Sus scrofa: one gene and its partner. The protein of the gene in region 1 purifies or fractionates together with the protein of each later gene. This does not show direct contact. Links are inferred from orthologs where the notes say so. Each region holds a gene or a part of one and is shown on either strand. Other genes may lie near its edges. The genes, in order: PSME4 and PSMA7.

Region 1 (3,806 bases):
AGTTGGACTCGTTACTGCTGAGCCAGAACAGGAACTCCTGATTCTTTTTTTTTTGTCTTTGTAGGGCCACACCCACAGCATATAGAGGTCCCCAGGCTAGGGGTCAAATCTTAGCTGAAGCCACTGGCCTACACCACAGCAAAAGCAACATGAGATCTGAGCCACCTCTGCAACCTACACCACAGCTCTTGGCAAGGCCGTATCCTTAACCCACTAACTAAGGCCAGGGATCAAACCTGTGTCCTCATGAATCCTACTCAGATTCGTTTCCCCTGAGCCATGATGGGAACTCCCTGATTCTTTTTTAATTGAAATATAGTTAACCTATAATACTATATTAGTTTCAGGTATATTACATAGTGATTTGACATTTGCATGCATTATGAATCTGTGCTGTTCCTTGAAAGATCATCTTGAGAGAAGTTTCAAGGCCAAGTTGTAATCCTTTATTCCCAGAATTGTTCGGCTTGATTAGATAAATGCTATCTTTTTTCTCATTTTTCCTTCTCCAATTATATTGTTGTTTGGTTGGTTGTTTTATGTTTGTTTTGGAAATAAATTAAGAAAAAAATTTTTTTTCTTTTGAGTCAAAATATGGTCAAATATAACAGATTTAATCACTTGAACCATTTAGAAGTAATAATAAAATATTTGAATGCATTTATGTACATCTCACCTCTTTATTTCTTGCAGTAAGAGATTCTTCATTTAAGGAATGCTTTTTATGCCTGATGTTACCACCCTTGGTTATATTAAGGTCATAATCTTAGTGATAAAAGATTACTAAGATTCACTAGATTAATAAGATTTACTTATTTGACCACAAAGAGTAAATGATACTGTTACTCTAAACTGAAAGATGTCTTTTTCTGTTTTTCTGATTTGTTTTAGTAAGTTGCCCTTATTTTTAGTAGACTGTCTTGATTTGTATGCAGTTCATCTGGGAAGTGTTTTTGACTTTTGTTTAGAGGTAGAATTGACTTTTGCCCACAGGATGACTATGAGTCACATTAGAGATTCATATGTAGGTCTGGGCCTATTAACTTCAGTTTTACAGAATATTGTGGGTACTGATATTTTTGCTCTTTGATCTGATCAGGGTGGACCAAGTAAGCTAGTGCAAAAACACTTGGCCGGTTTATTTAACAGCATCACATCTTTTTACCATCCTTCCAATAATGGCCGCTGGCTGGTAAGTTCATATTTTACTCTTAAGGTTTGGAATTTTTAAAAGATAATAGTCACATGTAACTATTCTCTATTATGTAACCTATGCACATTTTCTGTCTTTTATATAAGCTTTGGCTGTAGGTCAGTGATTTAAGTTCACATTGGTTACTGTTTTCATAGAAAATACAGAAATAAAGAATACTAGTGTGGTAACTGGTGACAAAATGCCATAAAACCATGGAATCGTCTTTTCAGTTTTTTTGTGTTTGATTTTTTTTTTTATGTTGGATGGTTAAAATGGCTTGTCATGTTATGGAGGATTCATGTGGTGCTAGAGCTAGAAATTAAAACTGAAATTAGGAATAGATGTTTATTATTGTGAATGGTTACTTGGTAAGAGTATTTTATTCTATCTAATTAGGCTGTTCAGGTCTTTGTAATAAGATTATAGTCTGCTATTTAAAAATCTTTCCTTGGGAGGATAAAGAGGAACTATGAATATCTGTAGCAGAACCTACCTAGGACCTTCTGCTTCTGTGTCCCCAGAACAAGTTAATGAAACTACTTCAGCGGTTGCCAAGCAGTGTTGTTAGAAGATTACATCGTGAAAGATACAAGAAGCCTTCTTGGTTAACTCCAGTGCCTGATAGCCATAAGCTTTCTGATCAAGATGTTACAGACTTTGTACAATGCATTATTCAGCCTGTCCTCTTGGCTATGTTTAGCAAAACTGGTAGTTTAGAAGCAGCCCAGGCTCTGCAGAATCTTGCACTCATGAGACCTGAGTTAGTAATACCCCCTGTACTTGAAAGGTAAGTGTGTCTTAAATGTTTCATTGAAGCCTCAGCCATGACTACTGTTGATGCTGGTTATCTCTTTCCTCCACTCTTCTGTTTATTTTTCTTTTCTTTTCTGTGGCTACTGTTCTGCTATCTTGGTGCTTATTCCTGTCCTTAGAGGAGAAGTAAGACATTTTAACCTAATGATTGATAACTTCATAAAAGTTTATTGGAGAGAAAAGAAGATTGCCATGAAATGGATAAAATAAGCATTTCAAAATATGTGCACATTTTAGTTGGTTTTGCCCATAAGTAAAACTCTCGCTATTTTTTCATAAAATGTGAATGCCACTAAATATTGAGGACATTGGCAGTAAAAGTGATTTTGGATTTCTGTTATGTCTTAGAATCAGTGATGGAAAAGAAAATTTGGTTATGTTTATTATTTTCGTGTATTGTATAACATTTTATGTGTTATTTCTGTAGTGTAGATTTTACTGCATTCATTTTGTTTTGTATGTTGAAACTACAAAAATAGTTCTCTGTTTGCCTCATCACTGTCACAATATAGGCCTAGTGTGTTTCCCAAGAGAGACCCACTAGTAGTTATTTTGTGTGTTTAGGAGCAAATTGCTTAAGCTTTGTGCCACTCATTCCTTTGCTGCCTGAACTTCACCTTAACGGTTCCTCTCTAAATGTCTTTGTCAAAGGTAGAGGAAGAATGTTAGTTTTTGGAGCCTAGAAGGATGTAACAGTTTGAGTTTCATAAAATTCAGCTCTGTCCAAGATCCTTACTGTCAGATGCAGGTGACAGCCTATTTTCCAACTCACTGTTGAAATGGTTAAATCGGTGACATTTACCTGGAGAAGGGTATCCTGTTAAAAGACCTTCACCAAAATGGGGCTCCATCATTAGTAATTTGAGTTACTTGTGCTATTTTGCCCTGTTTTCTTCACCGTGAATATTTAAGTTGCACTTCATTTCCCAGCCTCTCCTTTTTTTTTTTTTTTTTTTTTTTTTTTTTATGTACATGGCTTGGGGCTCTGAAACTTTTAGAACATATAACTTAATTGGGAAATAGAATGAGGAAGTTAGGCAGCTTCTCCTGTCTTCAGCTCTCCCTCACTGTTCCGTGCTTACTTGACCCTCATGTGGTAGCAGGCACTGATAGTCAGTGGCAGGTCCCTTGATGCTTTTAGGACAGGAGACTTAGCTCTAAAGGGTGCGTCGGGGGAGGAGGATGGAATAGGCTTCAGTGGTTTACAAGTTAAATTTTGAACTCAAATATTTTGGTGTTTCTTTCCTTCCCATTTATTTTGCCTTGTTTCAGTGGTTTCCAGCTGATTAATTATGTAGTGAGATAAATTTTTAGCAGGAGGAACAAAGCTTGTACATACAAATATAGTTATACATCACATTTTCCTTTAGTTCTCAGTTTTTGAATAAATTTAATAATAGCATATTCTGATCTTAGCCAAGATTAATATTAAGTTGACAAAACTGATAGTACATGACATTTTTTGGCACTCTTTCAGTTGTAATTTTGTCCTGTTAGAAGTGGCATGGCTACCTTTGCCTTTCTTTGAAGGTTTTTCTTTGTTTTTTTTCTTTTAGAAAAACAAAAGTTGGAATTCCCGTCGTGGCTCAGTGGTTAACGAATCCGACTAGGAACCATGAGGTTTCGGGTTCGATCCCTGGCCTTGCTCAGTGGGTTAACGATCCGGCATTGCCGTGGGCTGTGGTGTAGGTCGCAGACTGAGGCTGGGATCCCTCATTGCTGTGGCTCTGGCGTAGGCCGGTGGCTACAGCTCCAATTAGACCCCTAGCCTGGGAACCTCCATATGCCACCGCAGCAG
Region 2 (4,362 bases), on another chromosome or scaffold:
AAAACCAGTCTGTAAAGTTTTGTTAGGTGAAGAGGCTGGCGAAGTGTCAAGGCTGAAAAGCAGCGTGACACTCCAATAAGAGCGGCCGGCCAGCCGGCCCCGAGGCGTGGAGCGCTCCTTAAAGGGCTGCGGGGCTGCAAGACCGGCGCCCTCACTCTGGATGCACCTCTTTGTGCCTCGTAATGCCAGCACCTAAATGGCAGGCGGGGCCGGCGGCTGGGACGGATCCCCGTCGCCCCATGTGCCCCGTGCGCCCTCCACCAGCCAAACTGCGCGCGGGGGCGGGGGGCCGCCCACGGCGCAGCGTCACCACTTTCCCAGTCAGGAGGGTCCCCTCGGCGCACCGGGCGGCTCGCAGACACCACCCTGCGGACGCCCGGTCCGGACGCCGTGCACCCGCACCCCGGCCCCGAAGGCGACGGGTCTCCACTGTCCCCGGCGGGGCCCGGGGTCGTCCCTGGCTTGGCTCTGCGGACATCACCCTGCAGACAACATCCCTTGGACACCACCCTGCGGGCACCCGGTCCTGCCGCCCTGCGCTCCTGCCCCGCGGCCCCGGGCCCAGAAGACGGCGCGTCCCCACTGTGGCCGGTGAGGCCCGGGGTCGTTCCGGGCTGGGCTCCGAGGACACCACCCCACGCGCCGCCTTGAGCCCCAACCCACCGCCCCCGCGCACCCCCGCCCACATTGGCGCACGCTGGCCACAGAGCGCGCGCGGGGCCCCAGCGGGGTCGCGGCGGTCGGCTGCGCCCCGGCTTTGTTCGCGCCCCGCGCCCGCCGGCTGCCCTCGACCCGGCCCAGCGCCCGCCCGCACCCCGTGGCCCCCAGCCCGGGACCGCGGCCCCCAGCCCACCTTCTGGATGGTTTGCTGCGTGACCTCCCCTTTGCCTCTCGGCCGGGCGGACGCGAAGGCCACCGACATGGTCGCGGGCGCAGGATCAGCCCGAGATCATCGGGGTTTATTCTCCGGCTGCGCTCGGCGGCCAGAGGCGCTCATTCTCCGCAGTCGCTGGGGGGCGGGGGGCGCGGGGGGTGCTGCGCCGTGGACTCGCCCGCCCCTCCGTCGCCGCGTTGCCTCCGGACCCGCCGCCTCGCCGCTCCGCGCGCCGCCGCAGCCTGAGACCGAGCTCCGCGCGGCGCCCCCGGGCGGCCGCCTCGCGCTCCGCGCCGGGCCCGCCGCCGCCGCCACCGCCGCCGCCGCCGCACCGCCCCCCGCGCCCGGCCGTCGGTGGTTCGGCCCGGCCCCGCCCCGGCGCGCGCACGTCGCCCGACGCCGCCTTACGCCCGCCTTACGCCAGCAGCGCAGTCGGCGGCGCCGGGGGCGGACGGGCGCGCGGCGCGGGCGCGGGCGCAGCGACGTCGTGAATCGCGGGCTGCGCGGGCCGTGAGTGTGCGCTTTTCCCGGGTCCGGCCGCGTCGCCCCGCCGGCATGAGCTACGACCGCGCCATCACCGTCTTTTCGCCCGACGGCCACCTCTTCCAAGTGGAGTACGCGCAGGAGGCCGTGAAGAAGGGCTCGACTGCGGTGAGCGGCGGCCCCGCGGGGCCTGCACGTCCGGGGATGGGCAGGGCCCGGGCGGCTGGGGAGGCCGCGCTGACCGGCGCCGAGTGCTTCGGGCTCGGGTAGCACAGGGGCGGGGGGGCGCACGGCAGCCGTCACGTGGGGCTTGCTTCGGGAAGGGGCGCTGCGGACCGTGGCCTGCAGACCGCAGGCCTTGGGGCTCCTCCGGTGTCCGGAGCCGAGCGCGCCTGCCGGCGGCGCCATTTTGGGGGTTCGGGGGCCGCGGCTGGGCGGGGGGGGGGGGCTCCGAGCGGCGGGCCAGCCCCTTACCCGGAACGCGCCTTAAGGCACCAAATGATTTGCGCGAACGGCATGCGGACCGCTCCCAGTGAGGGGGCTTCCCCGACCGGGAAAGCAGTGGGCCGGCTTCGAGGACAAAGGGCGGCCGCCGGGCTCAGCAGCAGCCCTGCCGTCCCCGGGCAGCCCGGCGCAGCTGGCAGGCCCCTCCGGGTGTGACCGCCCCCCTCGTCCCCTCGCACCTGAGCGCGGCTGTCGTTTAGGCCGCGGTTTGAAACGTAAATGCAATGGTGCCTTCAGTACGCTTGGCAGTTTGCTTATTGGCTAAACTGTACGATGGTTTTTATTTTATTATTTGGTGTGTCAGAGGTTTGGCCAGAGAGAAAACACACGATTCTGTGAATCTTGGAAGTATTTTCATCTCTTGAACCTCTTCTGCAATGGGGGCTCCAAATCCACCTTGCGACCTATTTCAGCTTAGAGACTAGTGGGGGAGTCGCCTGGCACCTGTCTCCCCCCGCCCCCATTGCATGTGGGGCCCGCCGGCAGGCTACCTTTCTTTAACCAGCGCCTCTGAGCAGGGCCTTCTTGTCTTTGGGAGCTTTAAAGACCAGGTCAGTTTGTAGGAAAGTTGCTTGAAACTTGGAAACACAGCCGACCAGGGCTTCTCTGCAGCCCAGGGGGCGTTTGGCAACGGCCAGGAGACTTCTAGAGGCAGAGGCCGGGCAGAGGCCGGGCGGACGGTAAGCATCCTTCAGTGAGCCGGGCCGCCCTCACATCCAAGAATTGGCGGGCCCGGTGCCCACAGTCCTGAGGCTCAGAAGCCCTGCTCTGGGCTCGGGCGGATGTCGCTCTGCCCAGTGACCGTTTCATGCGCAGCGGCTGCTGTTCCCATTGAGGGCTGTCGACAGGCAATCGTGATTTTTTTCCCCATGTGCGTAAGACATCCTTCTACCTGCGAAGCGACAGCCAGAAACAGCCAGTGGCCTCCCGGGGGTAGCTGACACGTCCACCTGGTCACATCAGGCACTTGCCCACTGCCGTGCACACAGGTTACCGAAGTGCGGGAGCGGGGAGGGTTTGGGTGTGACTTCACAGCCACGCAACACTGCTTTCAGGACAGCTATTTCTGTGTTAAGGACTCAGGCCTAAAGGCTTTACGCCGAATTCCGAATCATGGGGTTGAAGGGGCACATACACGTGGGTCACACACGGTGGTGGTTTTCAGTTGAACTGAAACTGAAGCCTAAGGCCAAGAGTGGGCACCTGGCTGGCGACGCCTGAGGTAGTTGTGCATAAGCGGGTCCAGCCCCACGGTTTGCAGGCTGTGCGTGCCCCCTGCCCCAGTGGTCATGGGGCCGCGGCAACAGCCGCTCTTCGTGCTCTGGGCTGGGATCGCGTCACACGTTTAAGTGCCACGGTGATGCCCGTTGAAGGTTGGCGTCCGCGGAAGGGACATCGTCGTCCTCGGCGTGGAGAAGAAGTCGGTGGCCAGGCTGCAGGACGAGCGGACCGTGCGGAAGATCTGCGCCCTGGACGACAACGTCTGCATGGCGTTCGCGGGTGAGCCTGGGGCCGGGGCTCTCCTCCTGCCTCCTACGAGGGTCACCCGGGGAAGCGCTGCCGGGGACGCCCACGCCGGGGAACAGACCGTTTCCAAGAAACAGGTGCGGCCTGCTTCTTGGGCAGGAGGGTCCCTCTCCGGTGGCTGACGCACAGGCTCTCAGCAGACGCCCGGGGTGAGGGGCTGTGCGGTGGCCCCGTGCTTTCAGCGGCATGTCGCCGTGGGAAAGGTGGGGCCGTCCGGCGCTCTGCTGTCAGGTGCGGTCAGCTCCTGTGGTTCCGCTCATCTCCCTCCTCGCTCATCTCCCTCCTCGGCAGGGAGCGCCCGGTTTACCCAATCCAGAGGTTGACTTGCTTTGTCCCGGGACGCGTGCTGGTCGCCCGCCCAGCTTTCTCAGAGAAGCGCGTGGGGGCTGCTGCTTCCGCCGCCAGTCACTCAGGCGCCGCGCTGGGAACCGGGAGCCGGTCTTAGAAGCCGCCAGAGGTTGTGCCGTCCATGCCGTGCTGGTTTGGACCACTGACTGGAAGGTGGGGCTCAGGCTAGCTCTCCGGTCACCGCAGGCCTCACCGCGGACGCACGGATAGTCATCAACAGGGCGCGGGTGGAGTGCCAGAGCCACCGGCTGACCGTGGAGGACCCGGTCACTGTGGAGTACATCACCCGCTACATCGCCAGCCTGAAGCAGGTAGGCGCCGCCTGCCCTGGGTCGGCTCCCGTCACGGGGCCGTCACCAGTTAGTGTCCTGCTGCGGGTGCGTCACGGGGGTTCAGCAGCAGCCTCACGGGGTGGTCCTCGCCTGCCTCGTGTAACTTCCCATCCTTCGCCTAGTGGTACCTGAAATTTTCTTCTTACGAGGTGATGTGGGCTCATCTCTGGAGGGAAACGCTGTGGCTTTTGTCATGCCCTCCCCAATGATCAGTCACCAGGCAGGTGCGAGGCGCTGACAGTCCCCCTACCCTGGTGATATTCTGGTCACCTGTGAACCGAGTGTGTCTGCGGC

What was found.
Region 2: the proteins of PSME4 (region 1) and PSMA7 purify together in Homo sapiens (affinity purification with mass spectrometry; 4 studies listed by BioGRID and IntAct, with this or other methods). This does not show direct contact. The link is inferred for Sus scrofa from reciprocal best matches to the Homo sapiens genes PSME4 and PSMA7.

Annotation. Positions count from the first base shown.
Region 1 is NC_010445.4:87,276,292-87,280,097, forward strand, and holds part of PSME4 (proteasome activator complex subunit 4), read left to right. Parts: intron 1-1,099; coding exon 1,100-1,192; intron 1,193-1,716; coding exon 1,717-1,982; intron 1,983-3,806. UniProt on the Homo sapiens protein: Associated component of the proteasome that specifically recognizes acetylated histones and promotes ATP- and ubiquitin-independent degradation of core histones during spermatogenesis and DNA damage response.
Region 2 is NC_010459.5:61,568,433-61,572,794, reverse strand, and holds the start of PSMA7 (proteasome subunit alpha type-7), read left to right. Parts: upstream 1-1,278; 5' UTR 1,279-1,429; coding exon 1,430-1,525; intron 1,526-3,234; coding exon 3,235-3,361; intron 3,362-3,922; coding exon 3,923-4,047; intron 4,048-4,362. Other genes in the region: SS18L1 (calcium-responsive transactivator), read right to left, coding at 854-922.